2 linked regions of the Lepisosteus oculatus genome follow. The protein of the gene in region 1 interacts with the protein of each later gene in a pairwise test. Links are inferred from orthologs where the notes say so. Each region holds a gene or a part of one and is shown on either strand. Other genes may lie near its edges. The genes, in order: ccdc172 and hddc3.

Region 1 (16,243 bases):
ATAAATGAAATATTTCACAAATAGTGTAGGTTCACATTATTTTTTCCCTTAAAAGCGAAATTTCTGAAATAGTACGCAGTGTATTACATTTGATAATGTATTCTAATTATTTCCTTTTGTAAACTACCCAAATACAAAGAAGACTGAAAACCTGAATGTCAATGTCAATCTTTCATCTGTTCATCATTCTGTCCTTAATGCCTCTCCATTAACGTTTTTTATAGAAATCTTGATAGCAAAACATTATTTTCTTATTCTTATTTAAGAAGCATCAAAAGCATTACTTTTAACTATATCAGTGTGGGCTGGCACAGGACACAGTCTCCATATTTGTGAGCAATCCCTTTTGGAACGAGAAGGTTTAAATACCTCCAATCAGCCCTGGATCAGCTGGCTAAACCTGTTCCACAGCAATGCACTTTGATCCCACTGACAATGACCTACAGTACTACACATTATGAATGCAGGATGTCATTCCTCCTTCACCATTTGCTCTGTTAAGCAAGGAGCCTCTTTCCCTCACCAGGTGTGCTTCATTTTTAGTTTTCTCATGAATGGGTGACTTTTCCTCAAAGCCACCTCTGTCTCACAACCCCCTTACAACTCTCTCATCATTGGGATCTTTTCTCTTTGACGGATAGCCCTTTTGTATCTTAGGGCATTTTTAGTTGTATCATTAAGCACTTGTAAACAGTGCCACAACCTCTACTGTTATTGTAGTTACATATTATTGATTGCTCTGTCTATGTGCATCTGGAACAATGGTATAAAGTCTCTTGGCAAGGATGCAATTGTCAACTGACTTATCTGGTTAAATAAAGAATTATTACTGTGCACCAGTTAAGTGTACTGTACCTACCCTTGATTAAAAAAGTTTCTTCCTCTTCCAATTTAAGTATTTCTGCCTTGGTTCTGGATTCCATAATTGCTTCTCTGTCTGTCAGTAGACTGTAATCATCATTGAAAGCCATGATCTCTTTCATAAATTTTTCCTGCTCTTCTGAGCATTTTTGTCGTATTTCCCCCTGCATTTTACAGGGTCAAGACAGAATTGTGAACAAATGTTAAAAATAATAAATTCTATTTATTATTTTAAATTTGGCACCAAGATTTACACAACTCTGAACAATTTGAGAAAGCACACATTTTACACAAAGCACAAATAAAGAGGTTAGAAAACAAAATAATACTAAATTATTTCTTGTTTGCACAATTAAAAGAATGGATGTACTGTATCTGATTTCTTCATTACAATTTGGAAAAAAAATGAATATGACATTCCTCCTGGCTAAACGCGGTGAAATCAAGCAAGGCATTATATCTGTCTTGTACATGCATCAGCACTGTACAAGGCCTCCCCACTGCGCTTCAGAGCTTTATGTAATAATAATTTGCTTCCATTTATGCACGTTATAATTACAGAGAATCACACTAAACACATACAGTACAGTATGAGGTGGCAAGTCAGTAAACAATAGAAAGTACAGTTCTTAAAGCTTTCTTTAGATAGTAAAGAAATAGTTCTACAGTATGTGCTAATAGATATCCACAACATGCAAAGCATGCTAATAGATATGAACAACATGTAAAACACACAATAAATAATCTTACCAGGGATTCTATGAGATTGTGCTTTTGTTTTGAAAGGTCAGCTTTCTGCTTTTCAGTTGCTTCTTTGTGCATCCTTAATAGGCCACACTGCAAAGCAGTTTCAGACAGAATCCGGGTCTGTAAGACAATTTAGAAAAGGATGTTTCTAGGGTTGAAATTTGCATAACCATTTTTACCATAAATCTCTGATTACTTAGTCATTTCATTTTCTGAGTTGTTTTGTAGAAGTAAATGCTTTCATAACATTGTAGGGGTTTGGGTGTTTTAGTTTCTTGTAACAGTCAGAAATTGTAATGGTAAATTGCGAGAGAATTTGATGACTTCTAGGAATCAATCAAACATAACTTACAGTCTCACCCAGGGATTCTAAATATACAATATACAACCAAACCAAAATATACATAAAAAACAACACCGTAATAGAATATAAATATATTTGTGAAACAATCAACTGTGAACATGAATGTCTCATCGTTCACATCAGGGATTGATCCTGATGTAATCATTCAGGGATTACAAAGATCAGAGTTAATAACTTCAGAGTAAAGATACTCATCGACTACAGTATATTGAGTTGCAGTCTGTTGTAGACTATCAGTCTAAACATCAAACATGTGTGGCAATAATAATTCAACTCTCGAGAATTAATATGTGAATGATGAAATAAAGTTTTGATGATTGGTTGAGATTCCATTAGGTTTGGTTCTGGTATCCACCCTACAGATCCCTAATTTGTGGATCTTCCTTTGGGTGATGGATAGTGACCTTTGACCTGTGGTTTTTGGGAACCAACCTCGAGACTGGCTGGAGCCTATCTGTGCTATGTATCATTAAATGTACAGCATGATACAGCTTTACGATGTCTTTTATCAGAGGTGCCTTAAGCCACCTTTCTCTGCATTTAGGGACAGGCACCAAGCTGCTTTTTTCAAAGCACAGAAAGATTATTAGAAATCTTAAATAATACTTAATTCCTAGTGTAATAATAAACCTTGTCCCTACAATATTTTCCACAGACATTTTGATGGTGGAAAACAGGGCATGTTCCCATTGCACTGATTACTGGAAAACTCTTCCGATCCTTCAACCTTCTGAATTCAAACTTATCATACTGTACCTACCCATTTGTCTCTGTCACCAACTACACATAAACTTAATTTGATTAGTAACTCTCACTTTTATCGTCTTTTAAACATATTTAAAGCTTGACGCAAGATGCAGATAAAAATCATTGCAAACATCTGTTAGCAAAATGGAAAATTAGAAAATATCTCTACAATGAAAGCAGATGGCAAGAACTGTATAGAAGTGAAAATTGTTTATTTTGACAGTTCACATTTTCTAGGTCATTCAGTAATTACTACTATATTGGCATTTAGATTCTGAATATTTCACCTTTTTTCAACAAGCTTTTTAAAACTGTCCATTCAGCCGTGAAAGGCAAATGTTATCATTCAGCTTCTAATTACATGCTACCTGCCTTCACAGAACACAAGTAAATTAATATTTGCTAGATGTTTTCTTATGACCCCCAAGCAATCTCTACGAAGTAGCTGTCATAAATATTGCATTCAGGACTCATGTTGAGCGTGAACTTGAAAGTAATAACCATTTCATTTGGCATGTGTTTCTAGCATTAATTTCCTCTGATCTTTTATGCCAAAATAGTTTTTTTTTTTTCATATAAGCTGCCTAGCCAACCAAAAGTGGATTAACATACAATTTTTAATAGTCAAAAGGAAATGGGGTGGCTCAGGCTACATGGCAGAAATGACAAGCATCAGACTACAGTTTATACAATGGCTTTTCTCATTAGAAACACACATTACTGCTACCTGATGGGACACTGCAGTGAATTATGCAAGGAGCATGAATCAAAATGCACAAAGTCACAAGTATATAGTATTCATATAAAAGCCTACAACTGTCAGTAATTACCCAGGACTACATTATGTTGGCCTTGTTTTAAAGAAAACAGAATCTCTCACTGAAAATACACTGTAGTTTCATAATATAACTGTAAATATATAACGTCAGAACACAGAATTGGATCATCTTTTCAACAAGTATTCTGAATTTGTAGCAGAGTTATTGTCATAATACCAATACAGCAAGTTTAAAACTGAAAACATTGGTTGCCCCCAGCACCTCTTATTACAAATTAAGCACTGCATTTCCTTCTTCACCAGCTTTAGTACATTGTACTTTCACTCTAATTTCAACAAATTGTAAAATAAAATGTTAATTAAGAAGACAAATTTTAAAAATTATGACATATTATGACTATAATTTTATTTATGTGTCTTTAAGCTAAAAGATAATATATTAAAACTAAAGTGACTGTCAGCTGACATTATATTTGGTATTCATACAAATGCGACCAATTATTATTAGCATTTGTACAGTAATTATTTTTCTGACAAAGCTGGCATTCATGTAAATGAAAGCACTTTTGATTTCTGCCATATATTGCCTAAGAAGAAGGTTAATCTAGCCTTCTCATATATATTAGCCTCTGTTTAAAAGGTTTACAATTGCAGCTTGAGATTGATCTTTTTTGAAGAGCTCTTGTCAATAAACAAGTCATCATTTAAAAGTGCTGAAGATTATCAATATTTCAATGGTTTTAATAACGATATGTGAAAGAGATTACAATCTCTGCAATATAAAGAACAGGGTCACTTAACTGAAGTTTACAAGTGTTCTGTCACAGGGAACATTACAGCTAAACGGTTAGAGATTCTGGTAATTTCATCAAATTATACCATACTTTGGATGTCTTCCTGACTGAACAAATTTCAACTAACACAGCAGAAATTAAAATAGTGGATGAAATGAGTTCTCCTGCACAATTTGCTGCAAATAAAAAAGAGGCAGAATCATTGCACATTTGACACTCTGTTTTGTGTTTTATGAATTATATTTTGGATTGATAAAAATGAAATGTGATTTAAGATAAATTTCATTCAGACTTCAAATCTGAATGTCACCACATCTACACATCTATAACTTCCTCATCAGTGACTTGAATCCATTTTTAAACAGCTGAATGTTACTCAGGGTTGAAAGTTCGTAATCCAAAGATAAGAGTGAAAAAACACCAATTCTATCACTGTCACTATGTGCATTGTCTTCCAATTACTACAGAAAAACAAACATTCATTACACAAGTAACATAGTTGATACACTGTACCATTTTTAAAAACACAAAAAAATAAGAATGCATACCAATTAATTGTTACAGCTACTACGGCTTCATTCCAATTGCTCGCATTTACTTCCTAGGAAACTTCACAATTTTAGCTTACCTTTTCTTCTACTTTCATTTTTGCACACTCTAGTTCTTCCATTAAAGTCTTGTGTTTTTCTTGATACCAGTCAATTTCCGCTTTAACTGAAAAAAAAACAACAGATCGGTTAATAAAAACTCTACAGCACCAATAAAACACTCAATATAACTGTAAATAATGAGACCTGCAGGTTTTACAGATAGCCCTACTCACAATGAAAGATTTATCAGAACCTTGAGAAAAATAATAAAATTGACCTCATTTAATATCAGAGGGTGATGAAATTTCACTGTTGATTGATGTACTGGATTATATATTGATTTGTCCTCATCTTTAAACAATGTTCATAAACGCTGAAGTTTATGGTTTTAGATCTGTAACAAATTAATGATTAATTAAACATTTTCATGCACGGTAAATCTATTCAGCAAAGCATTTTCTTTTAAATATAAATCATACTTAATGTTAATCTGGGAAGTATAACAGAATTAAAATTATGTGTAATTGACCTTCTAGCTGGAAGCGACCTTCTTACTTGTCAAATGAATATGGAAGACTCTTCCATGAAGTTTTTTTTAATTATTAGGTTTACAGTAGATTAAGACTAAAACAATTTTTTGTGTTTTTTGCCATTTGCTGCTCAAGCTTCAGGTTGATGTCTGCACTCAACTCGTCTGCAGGTGCTTGTTTGTTTTCCCTTGAGTTTAACGCACAGATATCTCCAATCCCCAATCATGAAGTATGTTGATCATTGTTGATGAGGTCTTTCCCTGGGAGTTTACCGCTGACATTAGACTTTAGATATCACTGCTCGTCAAACAGCAGCATGTGGAGCAGTCTTGGACACTGAAGCTCCTGCCAAACACACAACAAACAATCTACTCTCTTTCTATGAGGTCTCTTCTTGCCTAATGCCTAATTACCAACCAGGCCTGTCCAGCACTTTCATGCATGAGCCTAGGTATGCTGGGAAGTTATTTGCTTTATTTACTGTAATTCATGACCACACTTGTCATAGCCCTCAAAGGCAACACATTTGGTCGCCCTCATTTACCCAGTGTAACAAACAGTTCTTTCCGGACCCTATGCGGACGACACAATCCAAAGAAGTGGGGAAACACTGGGAAAACGTCATGCAGGAATACGGGGCTGAAAACAGGGGGGCGTGTCCAAAGTGCGCTGGTGCATGGGGGAGGTGTGGCCGAGACAAACAATCCAAAAGAGTAATCCATAGAGGGTATCCAAAAACACAAGAGAAAGTCCATAGCCAGGAGATCCATCCAAACAGGCAATTAAAACCATGAACCGGACCGGGACCGGGCGCTTCCAGGTCCCGGACTCGCACGGTGCGGAAACCAGATGCAGAGCCAGGATGAGCGTCAGCGCCTGGCTTTTAAGGTGGGCTGGGAAAAAGGGATCAGGTGCACAGAATGAAGTCTAAAGTGAAAGGGCTGGAGCACCCTTAAGGAGGGGGGACTATAATTGTGACACCCAGGTGTTGCAGTTTATTTGGTCCAATATCTGTACATTGTCATTTCCTGTGATTCTAAAATTTACCACAGTAATTACAACACAAGATCTCTATTTTTAAGACGTTAAGCAAACGCCTTAGAGCCATTCTCACCCCTCTCTTTTGTTTTCTGTGCCCCACCTCTTTCCCTCAAATCTGTGTTCTCCGTCTCTCTGTACATTTAACAGTTATACAGCAGAAATCGTACATGCTACAATCTCTCAATGGAATCTGGAACCTCTTTAACACATAAAACAGACTTTTGATTTACAAATATAAAAAATATGAAAACTCCTAATTATTTTGTTCAGTGCAGCCCCATTCAGTCAACTTCTGTGTTAACTTTAATCCAGTATGGAACTCAAGAGAACTGCCTTGTTATGTTTTTTTTTAGAGTCTGCTTTCTGAATAACCTTTGAATTAAACTCCAATTGTTCTCCACATTGCTATGATGACTTTAGACTGTCATTGTTATATTCGACTTTGAACCTGGTATGCCACAGTGAAAGAAAAAGTTTCACTGTGTTAACTGAATCCGTTGCTGTTCTCAACAGCTTCCACTGTAGTTCAGATGGTTCTATGAAACTGCAATGCCTTAGTGCAAGCATCCCTGCTGGGAAATAATATTATAAATTACAGTAGCTGGGTTATTAGTGTAACAATTGTGGTCCCGCTGGTAATAATAGATTAAGCCAGCATAATAGGTGGGCTTTATTTTTGTCTCCCACATGTGACCTGTCAATGGTATTTGCTATTATTTTTTTTTCCAATCCCACACAAAACAATGGTTTAAAAGAGACTGCAGGAACAGTAGCCAATGTACCAGAATTAAAACGCATTGTTTCACTCATTTTGGACAACTGAGGAAATAGGACTACTGTACTACATCAATGTCAAAGGTGATGCAGGAATTTATAAAGTTTTGGCCTTATATTGAAATATGTAAAACAAATCATCAATAGGAAATTGGTGCATCATACAAGTTATCTATTATAAATTTATATCTTACAAATGAAATGTTAACTAATGCAAGATACTGTATGCTGATATGCTACAATACCAATAGCTGTCAGGCAACCCAGCAAAGTGCTGCAGTGTCTCAAGGCCTACAGTATGTCAGAACTGTTTTGGCAGTATTATAAGGAAAGGTTCGTTAAACTGGCAGTGCTGAATATGGAAGAACGGTCTGAGGAAAGAAACCCCAAATTATCTGCGTGACAGACGGTAATCTGTTAGATATTAACCAGGTTTCAGGTACATTTTGTAAATAATCTTTCAATACAACAATATACAGTACAGTACATATACCTGCCTTTTCCTTTGTTTCAATAATGTATCATTTGAGAAGTTCGTTTTAGAACAAATACTGTATAAACCTAATTAATTTACAAACTTAAACAGGATCAGACGGCACTTCAAGACCAGTATTAGTAGCACAACGGGTATTACGATATACAGTAAGTGAATTGTATACAGTATGTACTTGCAAAGTTATAAATTACCATATTAAATAATGGTTTATATAGTTTTTACAATCCTAAGTGATGGTGTAGGGCTAATGTCAGAAGTAACATTATCGCGTGTTTAGTCTCGATGGATGGTAATAATGTCATCTTTATCGATTTCTCAAGCGTTTATATCTCTTTAATGATGTGGCATACAGTAACTGGTTTGTTCGACCACAATAGTTTTCCTGTAATGTTAAGGACTACTCCTGGGAAAGATGTATATTTCTCTGACACTGCATTACAGTACTATGCAGATAGAGCAACAATAACTTCAGTGGTTTCGCAGCAAATTTAACTATTCAAAAGTATATCGTGGGTCTTCTAAAACATTCCAGTTATACTATCAATTTGTCCTGTAGGTTAGAAGAAAAAAATATAACGCCCCATCCAACAACAATCCCCCCATTCTGTTTGCGACATAAACCAGGCTCTTCAGTTTTTTCAAAACGAAGAACACGTTTTGTGCTCATAATATTTACACCAAATAAAATACGAAGTTTTTTTTTCTCCACTCAGTCGAATATGACGATATTTTTTTTAATTACCTTCCAGTAAACGACGTCTTTTCTCTTCAGCCTCTTGTTCTGAAAGTAAAATGTGGTGAAACAACGAGTCCAGACTCATATTGCAAGTTAATTCAAACGTCTGGAAAAGTTCGAGAAAAACAGCGGTTCGTTACAGAAGAATATGAATTCTTCTATTTGCGGAGGTAATGCACGAGTGACCACAGAACACCCCTTAGGTCCCGTGATAGACTCTTCTAAAAGAAGTGTAATGATGCTGAGATTGCTTTATAGTATATACAGTACAGTAGCAACGTAAATCCACTTAATTTTTATATAATTTATATGGTAACGAGTATTTGTAATTGTTTATTCCTTAAAAGGTCGGTGTCATTTTCTGACAGTCGATGGTTGTAGCGTTTTGGTTTGTTAGGTTTTTTCAGCGGTAGCTTATTGGGCTTCTATTTTAATAGGATTTCAACAGGATGTTGCTTTTAGAAAATGATTTAAAGAGTGATTGCTGTGGTTGAGTTGGGCTCTTTTACAGTTTTATATGAGATTTTACTAATACGCACGGACAAATGTGTTAGTTTAAGACTTATTTTGCTGTAACTTCTTTTGCTGTACTCTTCCACTTTTAAATTTAAATCAGTGACGGATTTCTTTGCCATAATTTAAGTTGATCGCTGCTTGCATTTCAGAGTGACTGCCGGACGCTATTCGTTCTATCATGAATTATCATTCAGGAGAAAATGGTTAAATAATATATTTCACGTTTATATTTTTTTCTTACACTGTTTATATAAATATGCTGGGTGTTTATAAACAATATGGCTCAAAATGTATTTCCCTTTCCCGCTGATTTCCGGGCACCTAACAGTGGAAAGGAAGATTAATTGAGGGGTCATGGTTGGGTCCTTACTGGACCAGCTTTTTAACTTTTTAAGATCTTAGTAAAACGTATACCTTAATGCAATTATTTTTGCTATTCTGAAATTGTCTATACAAACTCTAGCCACCTTTTGTCTTTTATTTAGTGTTTTATTGGTGGATTATGGAATATTTTGCTTCCAAAGTCTGAATTGTTTTTATCGTTTTTATCATTTATAAATTGCATGAAACAGATTGCCAGGGAAGGAGTCATAATAGAAAATATAGCTAGACTTTAAAGACTAGGATTTTAAGGCATCAGATTTCAATTTTTGTTTTGTCAATCGCAAGAAATATTCAATTTGTCTCCTCATGCTCCCCACTATGGACTCGCTATCAAACCAAAACTGCTCTTCTGCTTCTGCTAGCCCAGAGCACTAACAAAAGATTTACCTTGTCAAACCCCATGCCAGTTTAAACTAGTTACAATGGCAGAAAAAGAGAATGCTGTCTGGGACTGGAGTTGTGGTGTTATCCTGGCATCACAGGTGAAGTTCCTGCAAGTCTGAAACATAGTCACCAGATACAGGGCATTCATACTGTATACCACATCACCAAAGCTGCCAAGTGTCACTTGGAAATAGTGGAACCATTAGTATACAGTATATAGGTCTGTCCTAAAGTATATATTATATTCAGTTGTGGGTTCAGGTCCCCAAAACAAACACTGCTGCTGTATCTTGAGTAATATGCCTTACGCCAGTTACTCCAGGCCACCCAGCTGTATAAGGTGGGGACCAGCATTTTAGTGTGGTAATTACTGAAATGGTCCAGCTTCATCCAGGGGGAGAGTCACATGCTCTCTAACCCGCTTAATGCTGTGACAACACAAAACAGGTTAAGATCTGGCCTGATGAGGTCAAGTGTTTAAAATAGGTAGAAGTAATAATAAAATTTTACAATAAGGAAGTAATAATGCAGGAGAGTGTAAGATGTTGCATGCAAAAACAAAACAACAAACATGAAGCTGTATTATCTGTACTTATACCTTCCAATTATATTAATTACTTTTTCAAATGGAAAAACAGTATTGCTACTGTAAATGTTTTTCTCTTTGTTGAACAAGCTATTGTGTAATGAGCTATTTACACCCAAACACCACAGGTAGGAGCCCTGCACAACACACATCCTGTCCTGCTTAATTTCCCTACTGATACACACCAAACCTGTAATTAAAACACCAAAAAAACACCTTAATGACATTAATGGTAAGTGCTGAAAAAATAACCCACGTGCAAACAAAGGTGTGTACTAAGTACTGCATTCTTCTTAAAGTACTGATTAAAATGTCCTTCCAATAGGATTTCTGAAGAGCCTCTGAAAAGCAAACACTAAAGGATATTTTAAATATTGATTTCTGGTGTGTTGTTGTTATAAGTTAGGTTTGTTATTAGAAAAAATGTATGTGCAGTATCCATTCATCAATTGTTTGGCAAGTACTGTATACAGTATCTGCCTCCCTAAGACAAAGACAATAGTTGTTACACTTTTCTAAATGAGCAAAAAGAATAGTATAAAATCACCAACATTCGAAAGCATTTTAGATCTCCAGTTTATCACAGCTGCCTTTAAGTGAGCTATTAGAGCTGCCAGCAAAAGTATTGTTTGATGTTTGTAAGCATAGTCAGCAATCAATAACTTTAATTCTATGCCATTTGGCCCTTTAAGATTTGTCACATCATTCTTTACTTTATTCAATTTCCCCGCCGCAGTGGAAAGAATGGTTTTGAACCAGTGCCATGAAGCACATTAAAGTGTGAATGGGAACTCATTTATATAGCAAAGACTATATCATTTTGACATTCATTTGGAAAATTAATAGTAAATATTGATTGAAGCTTTACATAAAACCCAGATTTATGCTGTACACCTTTATAGTGAGGTTAGCAATTTTGTTCCTTTGCAAAAATGTGCAGAGTCATCATATTGCATTTATGTAAAATTAATGCATTCTTTTTAAATGCAATTCTCACCCTTGACCCTAAGCCTGATGAAAACTGTTCTAGTAGTCCAATCATCATTTGTAGTCTACTGTACAGTATGTGCAAGAGCTTATTGAGTATGTAAGTTCTTTCATACCTCAACATCACACTACTGTAAGAACATAATTGAAGGGTCACAAAGATTGAAAATGACTTTCTTTTAAAAACATATTGCTGTTAAGAAAGATGAGTTTTAATAAAAACTTTAATTTGGGATTGTGGACTTCACAAAGAATGGCTTCCAGCCTTCAGTTTTGAAACTTAACAAGTGGATACACTTGTATTTGTGTAATATTATAAACATGGTATGTTTAAAATGTCCTTAAACATTTTGCAGATGTTTATACCATATCATTAAATTGGTGGAAACTGAAAAACAAAAAGCATAGTAAATCACTGAATAACATAACTTAAATATTTTGTCCTAGGAACAGAGGTTAACTGCTGCCTGGTACATACAATGTATAACTGAAAAGATAAGATGTAGTGTGTTGTGTACAAGGTTTAAATGATTAAAAAATAAGGAGGCAACAGATAAAAGTGCTTCTTTAATTTTTTTAAGAAATGTAACTTGAGTGCTTGTAGTCAACGAAAAGTCAATCTTCAGTCAATTATTTGTAACCTGCAAATCAATCTGCTCTAAAAACGATATACCGTACAGTATAACTATACAGTATATAACTAGGGAAGCAGAGGTTAATCCACTAATCCAAGACTGAATTCTCAAATGACAAGGCACTATTAAAATGTATCAATATTTAGGTGATCTACTGTACATTTGTGAGGGAATGCAGAATTTTAATTCAATAAAAAAAATCCATGCTCAATCATGTACGGTTATCTTGTGCTTGTTGGTTTATAATTAAATGTGTCTACTTGTAGGTTTACATTTGATTCATCTTAATACAATGAACTCTTTACTTCCCATTCTTCACAGCATCTATGCAAGTTATGAGTTATGGAGGTGGCCAGAATGCACTATTGAAGGCTCTGTATGTCAGTGGGATTTGATAACACTGTTTTGTCACAGAAGTGCTGCATTTCAATTCACGTCTAGCACATCCTGGCACATCAGTTGTAGTGATTAGACTTTAAAAGCATGGGTTATGCAGTGTCAAACACAAGATCTAAATCTTTACTAAAGAAACAGATTTTGCTGTATGTGTAGTTAAAACTGTGTCTTATATTTACATAACACAAATTAGATGTGTTAGTTTTTATTTTATTTTTCAGAAAGCTCTAAAAGTCAAAAGTAATTTAGGGCATAAGCCCCAAAATACAGTCAGCATATTGTAATATTATAGCTGCCTCACAGCTCTTGGGTCCAGTGTTGCATTGCTGTTTGGACACCTTATGTGTGGAGTTTGTATGGTCTTCCTGTTTTCACATTGGTTTCCTCCAGGTGCTTCAGTTTCCTCCCGCATTCCAAAGATGTGCTGTTTCAGCATATTGCGGTGTCTGAATTATCCATGTCTTTGTAAGTGGGTGTCCTTCAATGGACTGCTATCCCATTCAGGGTGTATTCTTACCTTGTGCTTATTCAGACTTGTTCAGTTTTAGCTTTTAACATCATTTTGTACCCGGAAGATAGCAAACAGTGATACTGTGTTGGACCCTTTGTAAAGATATAGTTGTGCACCTCAAGATTTGTATAAGGTACTGTATAAGGTACAGTACCAAAGATATAATAAAATACAATTGATGTTTAAAACTGCAGCTACCTACAAGAAATGGTTTACTGTAGAATAAGATTTACTGAACTTCTCATCCCCCAGTGCTGCACCTCCTAAAAGTGATCATCATAAGCAACAATCGATAAACTTGGTTATCTCTGGGAGAATTTCAACAAGACTTCAGGGCCAGGAGAAAAGCTGTAATGAGAGGGATCTCTGTAGTGAAAAGGCAAGTCACTCTGTGAAAAAAAACCTTACAGTAGGAACAGAGAGGTATTGAAGCTTCTGAATAAAGCTGCCAACCCTTCAAAGATTGTTATCCTGGAGGTCTCAATAAAAATGTTATTTTTTAGCGAGAAAGTACACCCTCCCCCAAACAAAAACCATGGACCCATGTAACTGATTTTCAGCCATGGGGAGCTCCATTCAATTTTGGAATCCAGCAGGTTTGTGGTAGAGACTGTTCCTGCTGTTGTGTCCCCATTGCACATTGGCAGTAACCTCGAAATTAGCAAAAGAACAGCTCTTGAGAATGTTATTTTAATAGTCACATGTGCTCTTCTTTGTCTTTGAGGTTTAACAATTCAGATGGCTATTCTGAATGCAGTAATTGATTTGTTTCTGTTCTTTTACCTTATCATTTTATACACTAATGGTCAACAAGATGTTCAGGTAAAGGGTGTGTAAAGAAAATGATTCCAACTGCTCAAACCAATTTTAAGATCAAGAACTGTCTGTCACGCACCTAAATGATCAAAATTGACTGCTCTCTCCCTTGTCCTTTGCAAATATAAAAAATAAATTTCATCCTTCATGACGAGTGGCCAAATATAAGACCAGAAATGCTTATTTAAGATATATCAAATGTTCTCTAATTACCAATATAATGTTGTAATATTTTATATTTTAAACGATTAATATTCTATCTTTTACATTCTGAATTCAAAACATTGTTTGCAAATTGTATTACCTGATAAGAAAAGTGTACAGTACAGTTTACAGTAGACTGACAGTGAAGATTTCCCACATCTGTAGGTTATTTTTTAGTTGCATTATTAGCTTTAAAATGTATGTAAAAAAATGGCAAAATTCTTAAATTCAAAGCCTAAACTCAAATAGGCTATTCAGAAATTCGTCGTTGCTAAAGGTCTTTCTTTTGAGCAGAAACCGATTGTAGCCGGTTTCGTAATGTACATATTTACAACAGTTAGAATAGCTCTTCGCCTTGTAAATACAGTAGTATATTTTTGTCTTCCTGTTCTTAGAATTTTCTGTTTATCTCGAGCTCGTGCTAGACTGATATGACTGCAATGTATCAGTGGGTATCGCAGCGTTTTATGAGATAATGCTGAAATGCCTTTGGAAACAGCCAGGCGGCTCCATTGGTCCATGTTTCTTCTCTTGGTGTTATTAGTCTTTCAGACATAGCCTTCCTCAGCTCAGGTAAACACAACGGGGAAACCAAATTAGGTACAGTAGGTTCTCACGGTTTCAGTTTGTAATCACCTTTTATTGTGTCTTTTATGAATACGAGCTTATCGAGTACATTATGTGTGACTGCCTTTGAACGTTTGAATTAGCGATAGAGAATTGTAGTCTGCAATTTAAAACTATATTATTCACTTTGTTTATTTTGCTACATTAAATATCTCGTTTAAAGGGATAGATGTGTCCTTCATACTGTAACTCCACTGTTACCTGTGAAAGGGCAAGAAACTAGGGTTTAACGTTCCGTTACCACAAGATTTGTACTGTATAAATGTACTGTATACATTCTGTACTATAGTCTTCATTGAACTTTCCTGTCCTTTTTAAACTGGACTTTTTCTTACTATATTTTTTTCTTTATTTTGCTTTGTGTGTTATGCACCAAAGCCTGAATTTAATGCGAAGGTGAGCACTGGAACTTAAAGGTCTTTGTTCTCGTAAATCGAGTCCTGCTCTCAGAATTATTTTATCTAAAAGGTGTGCACTACGTTTTTGAAGGCTATATAGTTAATGTAACCCATAATCAGATCATAGTGATTTATGCGTAAATAAACCAAGCGATGCAGGTTTATGCATTAAATCTGGTTAAATCTGCCAGGGCAGGTTATGATTTTAAAAACAGAAATATTCGGCATGGTAATTACCAGCTAGCTGTCTTTTCCTCAAAAACTTGAATTTTGCGTTCATTGTTGTTATCAGATACTGAATGTTTTCTATAGTTTATCAATGCTTGTCAAATCTGTCATTAACTTTTCATTAAGTGGAGATCTAGTGGGTCACAGTGGTCACACAGCTTGTGTCCTAGGATTTATTCCGGATTCCTTTGTGTTTCCTAACCCTTTCCCAGGACATGATAGATTAACTGGTGTCTCTGAATTGTCCATATGTGGGTGCCCTACGCTGGACAGGTCTTCCGTCCAAGGTGAGCCCAGCAACGCACCTCTTCGACATTTTGAGACGGGCACTTTTGAGTCGCTTCAGCCTGCTAAGGCTCGCGGCATGCTCAGAAAAATCAACTTTGCGTTATGGATAATTAGAATCATAATAGCATGATGATGAAAGGATACGAAAGCAGGCTACACATTGTGCAAAAGGGACTTCAGATCGTTGTATGTGGTCGTTATCGAGGTGATTAGCAATGCTTAACATTGAATACACGAATATGTAATGTACCCGTACGTCGACCAATGGATCTGTCGAGCCGGTTGGGGCATATTACTGTATTTGCAAGATATTCAAACGAGCGCTTACTGTAGGTAATACTGTATGCCACACTTCATGCCATCTTTTAGACATGATATACAAGTTAGCTGTGATAATCATTAGCATTAACATAATATATAGCAAGCTTTAAATGAGCAATTATGAGATGTCATCGTTTGGAGACAGAATACGGCTTGGAGCAAAACGGGCGAACACAATTGCGCAGACTAACAAGTGCAGTAGCTTGTTTCTTTAGGGTCAGACTGGTGACTGAAATCCATTTGCAATTCTGTAACGCTTTTAGTTCAGGCATGGTACTACTTTGAATTACCAACTTTACATAGCTTCAGATTTTCTTGCTAGTTTTATGTGTAAAACACTGAAGTGCGCTGACTGCGTATAATGCACCACCATGTACTGTATGGTTTTCTGACAGATCACAGTCCGCGTATGTCAGAATGCATATTGTTAGTGTCCATATTCAATTTCAGTCTGAACTTCTGAGTGATTAGTTCTTTGCAATCACTGCAGGTCTCGTTGAAGCC
Region 2 (16,955 bases), on another chromosome or scaffold:
AGTCAGCTTTCCTGAAAACAATGCATCTGTGTTAAAGAACATCAGAATGAATCCTACCTTAAGCCCTGTCTGCAATGTGTGCAGTCTGTCTGAGCCTAGGATTTGTCCCATTCAGGTTACCTACCCAAGCAGTGACATAGCAAACATGCAAAATAAAAAAATGCAAAAGCCCAAAATGCTTCTTTTTAACGACTTTATTCTTACTTTTTAATACTTCCGGGATCTCTTTACTTTAGAGAGCACAAACCGCACTAGGTCTCTGATGACCTGCACCCTTTGCTGTGGCTGTTTGTCTGTGTGAATCCAGAAATGATCCTCCTAACAGTCCCTCTTTTCTCAGCTGCGTTAACATCACCCACAGTGAGTGCTATTACATCCGACTCCTATCTGCATTGCTCCTGATTTCCTCGTCTGCACGCCTGTCTTAGCGTCTCACCGGCGGTCCTGTCGTTGACCAGTTTGCCCACTTTGCTCTCCATGGCAGTGAGAGTCTCCCCAGGGTTCTGCTCCACCAGCAGGCCCAGCTGGCGCAGGTTGGCAAACGTCAGGAGATGCTCTGTGCCGTAACTCTTGGAGGCAGAGAGAAAGAGGGGCTTGAGCAGTTACTGGCACCAGGAAGAATCTCTGTGCACAATCACGTGACAAAACAAACTCTCAATAGCAGTAACAGAACACCAAATGCTCTATCACCATTCTGGTGACTTCGTAAGACATTCCATAGTCAAGGTCAGTGGAAAATGACAGTAAGCTGTTTTAAAACAAACATTTAGTCTTTTATCATAGTAGTTTTTAAATATATTTTAACTTACCTGCAGGTATTGAGCTTTCAAAGATCGATAGTCTTTGGGGAGTAGACCTGGAAACAAAGAACAGGCAGAATCATGGATAACCAGTTGGCTTTCATGAAGCCTAAAGGCTTCTCTCTCGCAAGTCACAGGAGTGCAAAGAGCTCCCAGGGGATGAGACTCACCATTCTCGGTGAGGGAGAGAAGGCACAAGAGTCGCAGGCTGTCGATCATGGAGACCTGAGGGCAGCAGCAGCAGCAAAGGGGTAACTCAGTCACTTACTTAATGAATAGCAAATCATGGGAATGGGATAGTGATTAGGTAGTTGTGAACACTGTTCCCCCATCAAATTAAATACCCAAACACACAGTTAGAACATCTACTGTACACCGGCCTCATGCAAGTAGCTTTCTGATGAGCCTTACTGTTTTAACAGATTACTTTCATGTTTGGTTATACAACTTGATGTCACCTCTGAGATTCTCACCTGCCTGTTGATGTGCTCCTCTATATAGGTGATGCACTCTCGGATTTCAAACCCCTCCAGCAGAGCTGTAGCAGGAAATCAAATCAAAAGAGGTCTTGTTTAACAACACAATGCCCTAGTAATTTAGAATATTGCGTAAAACTGTGGACATCACATTCTATAAAAAATACTGCTAGACTGAAGTAGAATAACTCAGTACATTCCTGAGCTAAAAGGAATCTCCCAAAGCACACATGCAGACATTTTGGGTAAGTAAATTAAAAACCAAGACCAGAAGGCACTTTCTATATAAAGAGCTGTTGCTTGCCAGCCATGTAATTGAAGCTGATACCCTATCTTCTTTCAAGAAATGGCTAGATGAGATTCTCTGATCAATTAGCAACTAGAAACCAAACAAGCTAGATGCACTAGCTTGCCTTCTCTTGATGTTAGCCTTGGTATACAGGAGTTCTTATGTAGTTAAGAATGGAAAAGTTCAGAGTGCATGACACAACTCTCATGTTACTGTGTACATTGCATGACAAAGCTGAATTTGCAAACAAGTGTCAGAATCAAGCAGAGGACAGAAGCTATTAATTTATTTTATATTAAATTGATAAAGCACAAAGATCAACCAATCCCAAATGATGGTGAAAAGGACATTCGGGAACTGCACGAAGAGAAACATGGACTCACAGTGCTCTGTCTTCAGGAGCTCCTGAAAGTCCTGTTTGGTTTTCTTCTTCATGATGGACTCACTGGCACCGATATCTAGGGGAGATAATATATTCTGCATCCACAATTAAATAATATTTGGGCTTCAGAAATAAGGCATTTACTTTAAAACAGCTGTATTTTTATGTTTGTAGCGGGACACTGTTGAAACGACGAGGCCAGGACAGTACAGGGAGCCTGAGAATTAAGCACGGAGTGCTGAGTGCCACAGTACTACACCCCAGTGCTCAAACAGGAGGGACTGGGAAGGCAGTGGGTCTGACTCGGAGGACTGGGAGGGCAAAGCTGACTCAGGACAGAAACTCACGCAAACTCAGAAGGCGGTGCTCCTGTTTTAACCCCTTCAGCTCCTGAGAGACAAAATTCTTCATCTGCTTAATATCCATCCCACACCGCTTCTGCAGAGAGAGGGTGGGTCAGTTATGAGAAAAGCCAGCAACTGAGGCACACAGAACAGAAAGATATTGACCGGGCAGGTTTCGGTCATAAGGGGAGAAGACTGGAAATCCATAGACCACTTTCAGCACTACATTGTCATTTCTACTGAGAATTTCTGAAACCACAGATTAAAGAAATAAGAAGAGTATTTTAAATATATTAGCGATTTCTGAGATAGTTTTTCTAACCAAATGTCGGTGTTTAAAGCAGGCAGACATTGAAAGGCGAGTACTCACATCATATGCAGTTTGCAGGTTCCGGGCTTTTTGACTCAGGAACCCAAAGACATTGGAAAAGTGCTCATTCCTGATTTCACTGAATACCTGCAACACAGCACGCAGGGGTTCAAACTCTATACGGCAGGTGGCAGCCACTCGCACAGCACTGTCTCTCTACACACCTTATCCTGAGAATTCAGCATCACCTTCACACTCTTGTCAGAGGAGCTGACCTCAGGACTGAACTCCACACTGCCTGCAGGCAAAAGAGCATGGACATAATTATTGCTCTGGAGCAATAACCATATGGAACACATGTCAAGAAACAAAGCACAAGGCTAGGTGACAAACCTACTGTATTTCTTGGATTCGCAAAGCTGTTTTGACATCCCTGTACTGTACTGCTTTGAAAACACTGTGCTCACAATTAAATGAAATTATCTCCACAGGAACTAGGAGTTATGAGTGTTTCCAGCAGTAAGATGACGCATGGCATATTTATGACGTTCAGCTGTACAATATCTCCTTTTGATGTATAGCAGAATTCCACATATTATTCAATAATATGTTTTAGGTCAGGCTTCAAAGAGAATACCAGTGATGGACAAAATCTGTATGCGTAAAGGAAGCCAAAGACAGCACTCACCACATTTGATCCTGAATGTATCATCCACTAGTCCTTCATAAACAACCTGGGAGCACAGTGGGGTCACAAAATCCACATCTACGGAACAGAGACAGTGGCTGAACAAGCATAAAACAATGTAAATACCATTGAGACCACTTTCACACCTACCAAAACATGGAGCACAGAAACTTTGGAGAGATACAAAGAACCTTCTTATATTGACATGTACGGTATATTATGGCAAATGCAAAGATGGAGGATTCCTGTGTTTACTGTAATTTTTTTTTTTAATTACTATTTTAATCATTTACTCATCCAGGTCACAGGAGTCCTGTTGTATGGAAAGCCAAGAAGATCATGGCCAACTAATCCCAGCTCAGGCCAAGGCTTTAACAAGCACAAACGGAGTTTATTTAGCTCTACAATTAATAAAGAGGATGTGATCACTTCAGAAGTACTAAATGAAACTTCATCTTGTTCACCCCTCCTTACAGCACTTCACCCTGATGTATTTCAGGGTTCCTTTCCCCTGTCTTTTTCTTCCGGAGTGGCTCCATACCTCGGTCAATAAGGAAGACATTCCCAATCTCAGGCTGCTGGGTCTTCTGCTCCCCGTCCTCCACCAGATCCCTCCACATATCATACGTCATCTAAAACCCAGAGGGACACAGGCCATTCTCAGGACACTGGTGGGACTGGCTGGCGTAGTCAGACTGTAACGGTGATGGCTGGGAGCCTACCTTGGCAGAACGACCAATCCCATACACCTTTAAGAAGGGGCCATAGAGAGAGTTCAGGAGGTGGAGGGATTTGCTTGCAGTTGTGATCCAACGCTGGTTCCCCTCCTGGAAGAAACAAGGGCAAAATGACATATGTCCTATACAACACTGACTTGATCTACAGCTGCAATTATGCAGTATATCACTGTATAAAGAAGGTATTGTTGTCTTAACACTGTTGATCGATGCAGTTGTATTAGTGTTTTCAACTGCACAATTAAGACTATAAAAAGTAACATAATCGTACTAAACTGTGGCTATACACCCTAGATAAGTCAAAACAGGAACAGCTCAGATTAGTCATTGAAGAGATTTCACGATAACACCCATAATCCACTGTCCACTCACGGTTTCTATAGTGACATGCCTTTTCATTATCACAGGTTTAAGTGTCCATACTTAATCATCTTTAACAGGCTAAGCCATCTCTGATTTATCTCTAACGAGGTGAAGAAATTCCTCAACAGCCAAAATTCCACAGCCTCCATAGATCGACGGGAGATTCTGTGGCAAAATGTATTCTGACGGTGAGAATATTTAAAGGCAAGAAATTTTGTCTGTTACACTGTGACAGTCTTGCCTGCTTACCAGGAAATTGTCTCTGAAGATCTCTGGAAGCTCCAGGCTGATGATGTCATCATCCAGCGGCAGGAGGTAGAAAGCCCACTCGTCAGTGCTGACATCTGCAGGAGTGAAAGGGTAGACAGGTACAGTAAGTGTCGTTCCTCCTTTCCCAAGACCTCCTCGCAGACTGGCTGATACCTCCACTGCTGCAGGAACAGCACAGGAACTTCTGGGTGAATTTACAACAGAATTGATTTAGAATGACTAGCATGCTCAATTGCTAATAATTACATAAAGGGAGAAACTATCAATATTGTGAATACTCAGTGACATTTCAAGAACTGTAAATGAAGACATACATTGCAATACATTAAGATGTTTTTTAAAAAAAACATACTCTGCAATTATTTATGTAAACATCAGACAACACACATATCATGATGTAACTCTCTGGGTTGCAGTATGTGTCAGGCGTCTCACTGTGAATGAAGACGTACTATACAGGTGTCCTGTATACCCACCTCCGTAAACTCCCTGTTCTTCCAAAACGATTTCACAGGCATAAAACTGAGCATAAAAATAAGAACATACAGTTAAAACCCAGCCAATCAAAAGCCCTTTTTAATACCTCATCTGTCTTGACCCCAGGTGAAGGAAAAACCTTGAGTTACTGAAGTACTGAATCTGGACAGTTTTTTCTTTGACTAGTCTGAACTCTTAAACACAAAAATCGTTTAAGGAAAAAATCAAAAGGAAATCAATGTTTATTCATTTGAATATATTTCATGCATCTGGACCAAATGTAAAAAAAACATAACTGTTTCTGATTTCTTTTTGAGGGTAATGCTGCCACTCTGTCTGCAGCCAATTAACTTCTCAGTCAGCACAGAAGAAAAGCACTTTGAATGTTTTTTTACCAAAATAGGTTGTTCTATTCTCTACCACATTTACAATATGTTCTAAATAAATAAGGAAGTGTTATGCTCATTTGAGTTGGCCAATCTGAAGTGCAATAATTAATTTCTGTGCTTCAAGCTCCTAAAAAGGAACCAGAAGGTACTCCCCAGATGAGGCCTGGAGAGCTCACCTTCTGTGGGCAGAAGATGATCTTGTATCCCCTGAGTCTTCCAGCTGCCTTGTCTGTGTTCACGATCTCTGGAAAAGAAGGAGGTGGAGATAAATGTTTCTATTCTGGTTTAAAAGCAAAGATGCTCACAAAAATATGTCAAATTTGTCATTTTCTATTCACAACGAATAGACTGCCTATGCCTGAAATTAGTTTTGCCTGAAGTAAATGCACTTTGCTTTATCTCATTGCTGCCTCTTCAAAGACATAGCAAGAGTTACAGAGATCTCTAACTTTCTCCTCCCATCCCCAATCTGTTTTTCGTCACTGAATCTCTCCCCCGATGGCCCTACTCACCAGCAATCCACTTCACTGTTTGTATCCTTGGCCGAATCAGGAAGCACAGCCTACAGGAAGCACAGCAACATTTTGTTTGTTACATTGTATGCTGCAATACATTCTGCAATCTTTGTTCCAGAAATGGCAAAAACATGATTTCACAAAAAGGGGTAAAAGCACAACCAAACATTATGATTAAACATCATGTAACTATCCTTTCCACGAGTTAGGAAACTTCAGTAAAATGTACAGCATACATAAAACAAAGCACACAAGCTGACATTTCAACATCCCTCTAGATTTTTGTGGCACATTGTGAGAGTCTCCCTGGATTTCTTTTCTGTGATTCAAAAAGGTAAAGATTTAAACCAAGTGAAATGTACAGGTCACCTATATTAGGTGCTTTATTGGAGAGTTCAGAAAATACTCACTGATTGCACGTGCTGACGATGGGTTTGTTCTCCAGTTTGTAAAGCTTGTCCACTTCATGTTGCTGGAAAACAGGCAAAATTGAGTGAGACTGCAGGTGAACCTGCCTCACTTCTACTAAACCCCTGATCAGAATCCCCATCAAAGCCAAAGAAACCCAAGCATGCAGACACTGCAGGGCGCTATGCAGGAAATATGTGATCCCTAAATAAGTGCAGAAGTGCTGGATTCTGGAGGTTAAAGGCAACAGAACACTGTGCAACACTGAAGAGGTCAGAGTTAAAAGAGACCTTGAGGGTGGAGACATTGGCAATGCGATCCAATGGGCTCATTAAGTCCGCTTCAATGAACAGGTCCTTCTTTCCCGGTAACTGATGATGAGAAGGGATAGGAGATCATTAATTACGTTTAATTACATTAAGGTTCATACTTGCATTCAGGAGCTTTTACATGCAGCACTGGTATTAATTTGCATGGAGAGGATGAATGAAACAGTAGAACTCAACATATCACAAAGATGATGAGATCATACTGTACAGAACCACAGTCCTGTAACAAACGCTCACAGCCGGACACAGCCATGTTGTACCTGCTCCAGCAGGTAGATGAGCTGGTCCCTGGCCAGCCTCTTGAGGAAGGAGAAGTCCGGTGGCTGGGGGGCATCTCTCCTGCTGCTGAGAGCCATGAGGGCAGAGGGTAGCCAGGGTGGTTCTCACAGCAGCTCGAAGCTGTCCCTGAAAAAGCAATCCATAGGCTCACACAGGCCGCTGAGTCCTGCAGTGCTGCCTTGTCCCACACTGCAGGGTTACTGAGAGTTGTTCCAAGTCTTGAGAGGTGATCACAGCAGGCACAGATCCTGGATTTAAATAAGAGCATTCTGGCATACACGTGCAGATACTGTAAGTCCTATGTTGATATAGGAATTAATCTATACTGTTGCTCCAATTAAAAAACAGAAAAACTGTCCAGTTTTCCAGGTTAAATTTCACACCTGTGATATGAACAGCCTACAGCGTGCGTTTGCAGCTACTGCACAGTGCTCAACAGCAAGATGACAAAGGCAGCTGGGTCTCTGTGTGCCCTGCTGTGTTCCTGGCAGTACACGTGGTGCTTGCTTGTGCCAGAATCCTCATTCTAAAGTTGTAGGTTTCGCTCAGATTCAGAACGATAGACCATTAGTTCAATGAGTTCAGTTCATTGAGTTATTAGTTCACAGTTTAGGTTCAGTCCGGTATTTCTCTGCTGAAGTCCTGAGTTTAGAGCAAAACAAGAACAGATGTGACAGCACAGATGCTCCTTGTAATTTTAACAAATTTAACAAATCACAGAAGCAGGGCAGCACAGTGACACAGGGGTTTAGATTGCTGCCTTGTAGCACTGGGGCACTGGTTTCAGTTTCTGGGTTGGTATCTGTGTGGAGTTTGTATGTTTCCCCATTTTGTGGGTTTTGCTCAGGGTGCTCTGGTTTCCTACCACAGCCCAAAGACATGCTGGCAGGTTAATTGGCCACTGGGAAAACTGGCCCTGGTGTGAGTGAATGTGTCTGTGTGTGTCCTGGGATGGACTGGTGTCCCGTCCAGTATATACCCTGCCTCGTGCCCGTTGCTTGCTGGGTTAGGCTTCGGTTCCCCAGCGACCCTGTACTAGATAAAGTGGTTAGAAAATGGATGGATAGATGGAAATCAAGAAAACTCACTGGTCAATTAGAAATTAACAAAATTGCTTTAAATTCATCTGGTTAATTTTAATTTTAAACAATAGTCCTACTATTATGAAGCAAAGGAACAAGTAATAGGTTTATTCCATGCTGAAAAAAAGAAGAAAGAGAACACAACGTTTCGGCCGTGGAGCCTTCTTCAGGTGTGTGCCTTCTTGACACACCTGAAGAAGGCTCCACGGCCGAAACGTTGTGTTCTCTTTCTTCTTTTTTTCAGCATGGAATAAACCTATTACTTGTTCCTTTGCAGCCTACGCATGCTGACGCAGCTACCCACCTGAACTACTACTATTATGAATGCATCTACTACTATTATATTGTGATGTACAGAAATTATAAACATTGCACCATGGAGATCATTCTATGCAGGACTCTGTGAGAGTTAGCTTACTGTGCTATTTTAATAGCTAATGTGTCCTCCAATACGCTGTAGTTTACAATGTGCCCATTGTCCTCCATGTAAAATTATCTGACGCGAACATGTACGCGGAACGTAATAAAGATCTTACCAACTGGTTTCTGAGACGATAAGATGTGAATAAATGGCCCAACAGATGACTTCCAATATGGTCTGGCTACCACTCAGTTTAAAAGTGCGCCAACACCCAGATATCAGTATATAATAAAATCGCAAATAATGAAACGCCACGTACAGACACAAAAAATACAAAGCGCTACGTACGTAGTGATAATCTATCATATCCCTACAGTCTTGCGTTAATTATTTGATACGTGTCGTCGTCATGTATTCATTTTACTTTGAAACGTATTTAAAATGCTCAGGACAATCTTATACATCTTATATTATTGCTACAGTTATATTTACGGAAATTCTCCTCTCTTCGTGTGGAAATGTACAGTAGATACCCTGAATTTACGTCGGGTTTCAATCGAGCCTTAAGCCAGCCACTATCATTAAATTAAATACACCACTCAAATACAATAACTAGATGACAACAGCAACACTTCGAATATATACTTTAAATGGCTGTAGTATTTACACATGCCCAATTAACAAGAAAGCAAATAATATTACCTGCTCCTCCTTTCCTCCTTGCGGAAGCAATTATTATTGTCGGTTGTTTCAGTCCGGATGACACAAAAGGGACACATCCTGGAAGAAGGGAAAGAAACTGTTTGATAGAACACGACGGGATTTATGTTCGTACTTAAAAATCACTATTATACAATATTTAATGGAGTAATTAAAATTGTATTTGATACTATTTAGAATTGTAACACGGTGATAAACTTAGATTTCACAATATTACTTTGGCAAATTAAAGTATATACTGTTACGTTTTCGTTTTGCGTTCATTAGTTGATCAAAAGCTCTATGTCGAAGGAGATAAAAGAGCAGCGTTTCAAGTTTTCTACCACAGGGAGGCGTCATTTTCAGAGGAGAGAAAAGTGAATCTTTTTTTTTTTAACCTGTATCGCGCTGAAGTTAGATCAAATATGAGTTCGGATTCAGCGTTGCTATTGGAAACCGTGAACTTCGCCGCAGAGAAACACAAGTACCAGCGGCGCAAAGACCCAGAAGGCACCCCTTACATCAACCACCCCATCGGTACGGCCCGCCGTGCGGAAGGATTGCACTGCATTTCTTTGTTGAAAATATTTGCATATTTGCAGTTGAATAGATATTTCTGATGTATAACAGTGGCACACATGACGTACAGTATCATTTGTGTGTTGATTATTAACCTTTTCCCTTTGCAAACTTTTCTCAGAAGAAAATAGTCGAAACAAGCAAGCTGTTCGTCACATGGTGATTTTCAATTGTTGATGTAAAAACGTTGCATATAATTTTGATCATTTTATAATTCTTATCAAGAGAATGTGTTAACAGTCGGGAGATGCTCTTTAAGAATGAATCACTTTTATAAAAGATTTGTAATACTAGTGTGATTGTTCTCTCCTGTTGCTTCCTTTAAAAAAAGGAATCCTATATCCTTGGACTTTAAGATTTTTTTTTTCCATTCTAGGGGTGGCTAGAATTTTAAGTCAGGAAGGTGGAGTTACGGACATTGCAGTTTTACAGGTAAAAGCAATTTGATTCTTGTGTGCACAACATACCCCCCCAGTAACAAACATGCAAGTACCTATGGAAGTATCCTTAGGTACATGTCGGGCTGCTCTCACTGCTGTAATCTGTACCAAATGAGTGACACATTTGGGTATGCATGTGTAGTTTACTTGCAATCTTATTAGAATAAACAATGTGAAAAGATATTTTCTTGTGTAACCCGAATAGTGTGCACTACATCAGTTGCAGTGTTCATTTTTGCATTAACAGATGTTCTAGGAATGGATTTGCTGTGTTTCTGCAGGTATGAAATGGTTAAGTAAATGAGAAGTATATTGATTTGTCTGTAACACTGCCTAATTTATTACCTTGAATCCGTTGATTAAATTTACATCTTGTTAGGATTGTATCACCTCCAGCACTGGAGGAGTTCAAATGTGTGGTCAGCTGTCAGTGAGCACGTTGTTGTGCCCCCCTGCAGGCTGCACTGCTCCATGACACAGTGGAGGACACTGACACCACCCTGCTGGAGCTGGAGGCCATGTTTGGGACGACAGTGGCGCGGATCGTCCAGGAGGTGACCGACGACAGGTCCCTTCCCAAACAGGAGAGGAAACGGCTGCAGGTGGAGCACGCCCCCCACTGCAGCCACCAGGCCAAGCTGGTCAAACTGGCTGACAAACTGTACAACCTGAGGGACTTGAACCGCTGCACTCCCACTGGTGAGTCACCTACAGGGCAGCCACAGAGAGGCTCAGGGAGCTCAGCAGGTGTGAGCCTGGTCAGTACCTGGATGGGAGACCTCCTGGGAAAACCTAAGGTTGCTGCTGGAAGAGGTGTTAGTGGGGCCAGCAGGGGGCGCTCACCCTGCGGTCCATGTGGGTCCTAATGCCCCAGTATAGCGACGGGGACACTATACTGTAAACAGGCGTCGTCCTTCGGATGAGACGTAAAACCGAGGTCCTGACTCTCTGTGGTCATTAAAAATCCCAGGGCGTTTCTCGAAAAGAGTAGGGGTGTAACCCCGGCGTCCTGGCCAAATTTCCCATCGGCCTTTATCAATCATGGCCTCCTAACAATCCCCCTCTATGAATTGGCTTCATTACTCTGCTCCCCACTGAGAGCTGGTGTGTGGTGAGCGTTCTGGCGCACTATGGCTGCCGTCGCATCATCCAGGTGGATGCTGCACACTGGTGGTGGTGGAGGGGAGTCCCCATTACCTGTAAAGCGCTTTGAGTGGAGTGTCCAGAAAAGCCCTATATAAGTGTGAGCAATTATTATTATTATTTGAAAATACGATCTCCTTCACAGCTGTACATATACATTTTTATAGATCACTTTTTTTGTGATGTGAGCCATTATGCAGTGTTTCAGATTTTGTCACAATAAGAAATGATAGCTTTGGGCCACAACAAAAATACGTTTTTGTTGTGTTGTAGCCTGACATTTGTGTGACTGCGACTGAACGTGTAAGATCGTTTGTAGGGTTTTAAAAAAAAACATTATGGCTCGAGTATATGTTTCGCAACAGGAACTCGGAGACATCCTGGTCTTGTAAATATTTGCATACCTTCTTTGTGCATGTTCCCCTTTTACTTTACCGCAAGATAGCTATTCCCTGTTATTGCCCTTTCAGTATAACTTGAACTTCCTTATGTGCGTGCATAGGGTAATTTAATACTTTCCACTACAATGTGGTCAACCCCTTTCAGAGTGAGCAGACTCGAACGTCCTGATGTGTGTGATCTGCTGGGCGTGGAGCCGATGACTCCGACCTTGCGTTGTTTCAGGCTGGACAGCAGAGCGGGTGCAGGAGTATTTCCTGTGGGCAGCCGAGGTGGTGAAGCGTCTGCGGGGCACTAACATAGCACTGGAGGACAAGCTGCAGCAGCTCTTCAGGGAGAGAGGCATCGAGTCCTGACTCCCATCGGCAGAGACACCCCGTCCACAATCTCTACACTACCTCTTCTCCGGTGCGGGGCTCCTTACTCACCTGACGGGAGCAGAACTGGCTCTGCCCTAGATAGCACTGGCCTCGGCACTTACAGCTCGCGTTGTCTTTTGGTTGTTTCTGTATTATTAAAGACGAATGATTGTATTCTGTCCCGGTCTTTTTATAATCGTTTTGTTTTAACAGACTATAGGTTATGCATGCAGTAATTCCACATGTACAAGGTGCACACTTATTCAGTTTGTCTAATAATATAGTTACAACATAATTATCGTAGAACCAATATTATGTATTCTCTGCTTCAGAATACACATAATAAAATGTTCATCTGCAACTTCTTTGTCAAAGACAGTGGTTGTAATACATCATTGTTATTAGAAGATCTGCAGCCATTTGTGGTCAGGTTAGAGACAGAGACAAGATCTCCAAACCTCAATATATAAACCACTCATGCTAAATTAACCATTCTGTTTCCTTATGAGAAAGCAACACAACAAATAGGAAGCAACTACAGTAAATACTGTGCTCATTTCATAGTTACAGAAAGCTTTTATTTACTGTTACTGTAGAACATTTGAAAGAACGTTTGCTTTCTGTAGAGCAATGCAAACTGAAAAGTGTATGTGTGAAACTACCCTGATTTATGTTCAAATGTTGAGCACTGTGAGAGAGACAGCTACAGTGTCATAAAGATAACCATTGTTTTGAACACCATAAGACCCCACACTACTTGAGGTTCACAATCTCATGAAACATTTAAAACTTTAAATAGGCTTAGTGGTATTATAGTAAGCCTATGCCACTGAGGGAACAAATAGAAACCAAATATTTGCCTCAGTCATGTCAGCTTCCTGTCTCTGCAGAATCATCCCACCCTGTAGGTGTTGGGGTGTGTTTTGTTTCTTAAAACGTGTTCACAACAGTTTCCAACTGAAACTACAAGTTTGCCAGCACAAACAGGAAGCTACAGATCTGCATACTGCAGGAACGGAGACAGAAACATGAAGGTTCTCATGCTGTATTGGCTTGCTGTGTTCACTGTTGGAGTCAAAGGTAAAACAGGGCAAGACTAGTAATATATTCCTGAGAAGTGAGTACAATGTGAAAACAATTATTAATTTTAATATAACTCCTAAAACACGATGGGGAAAAGCAGTCTGTGGTATGTAAAAATACCAGATTGGTGGATAGTCTCATCTGCAAAGGTTTGTTTTGCTTTTATTGTCTAATGGTAGCTATGAAACCATAAAAAGACAGGAGAAGTAATTTAAAGAAATATGAAACTATTGCTAATCATATCTTTTATTATCTAAAAGAAATGCAACTTAAACTAAGTTTTACTATTTTTTTTATTTTTAGGTTACCTTGAATATGACAATGAGTTTTACATTGAAATCTTGGGATTACGTAAGTAAGAAATTCTAACTCAACCTGGAACTTCTTAACCTGGAAATCTGTAGTGTGTGTAGTAGGGCTCTAGAGATCTTCCACTTTTACAAGCAAATGCTTAATGCAACAATGAATTAGTGACAAATCATTATTCTGTTATGGAAACTTATGGTTTGCCTCTGCATGGTTTATATAGCAATATCTAGTTTTCAGCAAACACATGTTGCACATCATCATTGCATGCAAATCTTTTAAGACTCTTGATGGGATTTATAGATGTGAAATGCAGTTTTCATATACTTTCCAATGTAATGATGACTGTGTTTATTGGTGTCTACTAATTCTTTCTGTGTGTACTGTATGTGTACCTAGCAATGAACAAGTGTCCTGTTCAGAGTGTAGTCCTGCCCTGCCCCCTATATTTCCTGGATAGTCAACTATGACACCAGAAAAAAGCAATATTCTGATGGTGGGTGATTGCTTAATGGTCTTGGTCTTGTTGCAGGATTTCCTGGACCTTGGTTCTGGTACACATTATATGGTGTCTCAGTTTTTGACGCGGTCTGTGTTCTCATCATCTCTTCCCTACATGTGAATTTCCAGTTGCGCATGAGACAAGTGAGAAAAAGCACTGCCCGAGAACAGAGGAGTCTCATTTCCTCTAATGACTTTGGCCTTGTTTCTGTCGCAAGTGGAAGAACGCAGCTGACCGACCTCTGTGAACTTCAGTGTTAACCCCATAGAAGACAGAATCTTCTTGCAACAATTTTCTACAATATACTATATGTTCACTTTTTCCTCCCAGTCTGAAAACACGAGAATGAAAAAAAAAACCCAGAAACAACTACTTTTATAATAAAATGGCAGTTACAGTGCTCTACTACTAATACTCCCAGATGTAATAGCATTCCTGTAATTTTGTTTTTCTAATGTAAATTAAGTTCTTGAATAAAATAAAGTAATGTGACAAAACAACGACTCTTTTACTGCATGATCCTATTTCTTCCGGAAGGTGGTTGTGTGTTGTGTGTGAGAGAAGAAGGCGAGGAATCTGAGGTGAATAATTCTCGAATAAGAATCGGCACAAAATGATAAAAATTGAAACTCCAAAACTAAACTCACGTTATTCTACTTTTGAAAATATCCTCCATTCATGTTCTCGTCTTTTTAGTTCAAATGTAAAGAAAGATGTTTTTGATGGGACACGGCATAGAGAAATCAATGTAGCGATACATTTTCTTAGCAGTGTTAACTTATATGCAATGTTGACGTACAGTACATTATTTTCTATAAAATATACTAAAACACAAACCAGCTTCAAACCGTAGATTTACACTAGGTTTTCGTGCTTTCAAATTTTATTCCAGTAAATATTTTAATAAAAATAATCATTGCTATTTTAAATAATATTTCTATAGATTATAACATGTTGTTTATAAAACCTACGGAATTAATTTGTTGTTGTTTTTTTTCATTCGCCCACTACGTTAATGAATGTTGGTCCAAAATAAAGATTAAGGAGGAAGCTCTGTAGTTTTTTGTTGCAGTTCGGAATCCAAGCACTGTAACAACATCCGGCGGCTTGGTGTCGTATTTCCTGTTTCTCTGCTACGGAGAGGAAGGAGATAGTTGTTGAGTGTGTTGTGAAGCTGATCTGAGATACATTTGTTTCTTTTGCATTTGTTTTTGTCATTTTTACCGTCCAGTCATGGCGGCACCGAATTCTCTCAACGTGAAGCAGCCGCCGATTCAATCCACGGCCGGAGCCGTGCCGGTGCGCAATGAGAAAGGTGAGTTGTTGGACTGAGGCTCCGCATAAAGCGAGGACTGGTGATCATCGGGCCCTTGTTTTCGGTTTGAAAGTTAGAATACCGAGAGGAATGTGTCCAAAATGATTGACTTTCCTACAGGTTGTCTGTGAAAGTGCACGAAAATATTAGTTGAAGTAAATGTTAAATAATTATACATTTAAGTTAATTTTATATTGTAAGACATGATGAAATACTGGATAAATACTTGTATCGGTATTAATAAATATATGATATAAAGTTAAAGTCAATAATTAATAACAAAGCGGGAGATTATTTGTTTACACTCGATACAAATACACATATAAGCTAATGAAAACGTAGACCCAATATTTTCGATACATATATGGTATTTGATAATACTACTGAATAGAGAAATGTTGGTATTTTTGTGTTGATTTGCGAAGTGTATGAATCCATTTAAGAAATTAAAATGCTACGTTTATGTGTGTTCTATAGATACAGATCATAATTGTTTTGGGTTATAATGAAACTCTTTAGCCCTAGTGTTGATTATTCAAACAGGTCTGATCGCAAGAAACGCAAAGGGTAATAAAAAACACCAGTCGTCATCGTTTCCAGATTTCTGTGACTATTAAGGGAGTTCCATGTAGCGCTTGTGTGTTATTGCAGTCTTCCAGAGGTGCGCTGTCTGGGGGAGCCAGAGAGAAGCAGGGAGTGAGGGACTCTCCCCAGCCCCTCTCTTGGGCAGCGCTGTGTGTGCATGTGTTCATGCGGAGGAGGGAGGTAATGGGGTTGCTGTGTCTTGCTGCAGGTGAGATCTCTATGGAGAAGGTGAAGGTGAAGCGCTATGTGTCGGGAAAGCGCCCGGACTATGCCCCCATGGAGTCCTCGGACGAAGAGGAGGAGGATTTCCAGTTCATGAAGAAGGGCAAGGAGGTGGAGCCGGAGGTGGAGCTGGAGGAGGAGGATGTGTCGGACCCCCGCCTGAGGCGGCTGCTGAACCGCGTCACTGAGGACGTGGAGGAGAGGTACCCTGGGGGGGGAGTGTTCATCCGCTGAGAACATCCCCAAGTGGCTTGACTTGGTGACATCCATCCATTTTCTAACCGCTCCCTCCAGTTCAGGGTCATGGGGGAGCAGGAGCCCATCCGGGCAAACAATGGCACGAGGCAGGGTACACCCTGGGCTTGACGCCAGTCCATGGCAGGGGCAGAGAGGCATAGACGCGTACACACTCGCACCAGGTCCAGTTAACCTACCGGTGTGCTTTTGAACTGAGGGAGGAACTCGGAGCACCCAGGGTTAACCCACATGAACACTGGGGGGACATACAAACTCCATCAGATAGCACACAATGCTAATCACTGCACCATTGTGACATTATCAGTTAAAAATGGAAATTGTGAACAAACAGAAGTTCATTTATTTTATTTTTCAGTAAATTTTGTATTGCAACTTCTTTGTGTTTTTAAGTGGATGTAACTGCATGCAGTATAGCTGTCATTTTTATATAGTTGATCTGTCATTCCAAATAACACTTTGATTGTCGTGATGGTCAAAATGGAAAGCGGCCTGGCAGTGGGACTAATAACATTATTTGTGGGTCATGTCGTTTTGATTCTTTTGCTGTGAGGTCTGATTGCCCTATC

What was found.
Region 2: the proteins of ccdc172 (region 1) and hddc3 interact in binary tests that used the Homo sapiens proteins (3 or more experiments, as listed by UniProt). The two-hybrid records come from large-scale screens. The link is inferred for Lepisosteus oculatus from reciprocal best matches to the Homo sapiens genes CCDC172 and HDDC3.

The regions. Positions count from the first base shown.
Region 1 is NC_090699.1:42,658,245-42,674,487, reverse strand, and holds the start of ccdc172 (coiled-coil domain-containing protein 172), read right to left. Parts: upstream 8,620-16,243; 5' UTR 8,544-8,619; coding exon 8,465-8,543; intron 5,006-8,464; coding exon 4,920-5,005; intron 1,729-4,919; coding exon 1,612-1,728; intron 1,026-1,611; coding exon 860-1,025; intron 1-859.
Region 2 is NC_090700.1:49,390,887-49,407,841, forward strand, and holds hddc3 (guanosine-3',5'-bis(diphosphate) 3'-pyrophosphohydrolase MESH1), read left to right. Parts: upstream 1-9,295; 5' UTR 9,296-9,623; coding exon 9,624-9,735; intron 9,736-10,153; coding exon 10,154-10,209; intron 10,210-10,675; coding exon 10,676-10,916; intron 10,917-11,984; coding exon 11,985-12,115; 3' UTR 12,116-12,297; downstream 12,298-16,955. Other genes in the region: vps33b (vacuolar protein sorting-associated protein 33B), read right to left, coding at 1-11, 437-569, 810-856, 971-1,025, 1,274-1,338, 1,949-2,023, 2,295-2,385, 2,662-2,748 and 11 more; mfap1 (microfibrillar-associated protein 1), read left to right, coding at 15,243-15,324, 16,118-16,334. UniProt on the Homo sapiens protein: ppGpp hydrolyzing enzyme involved in starvation response.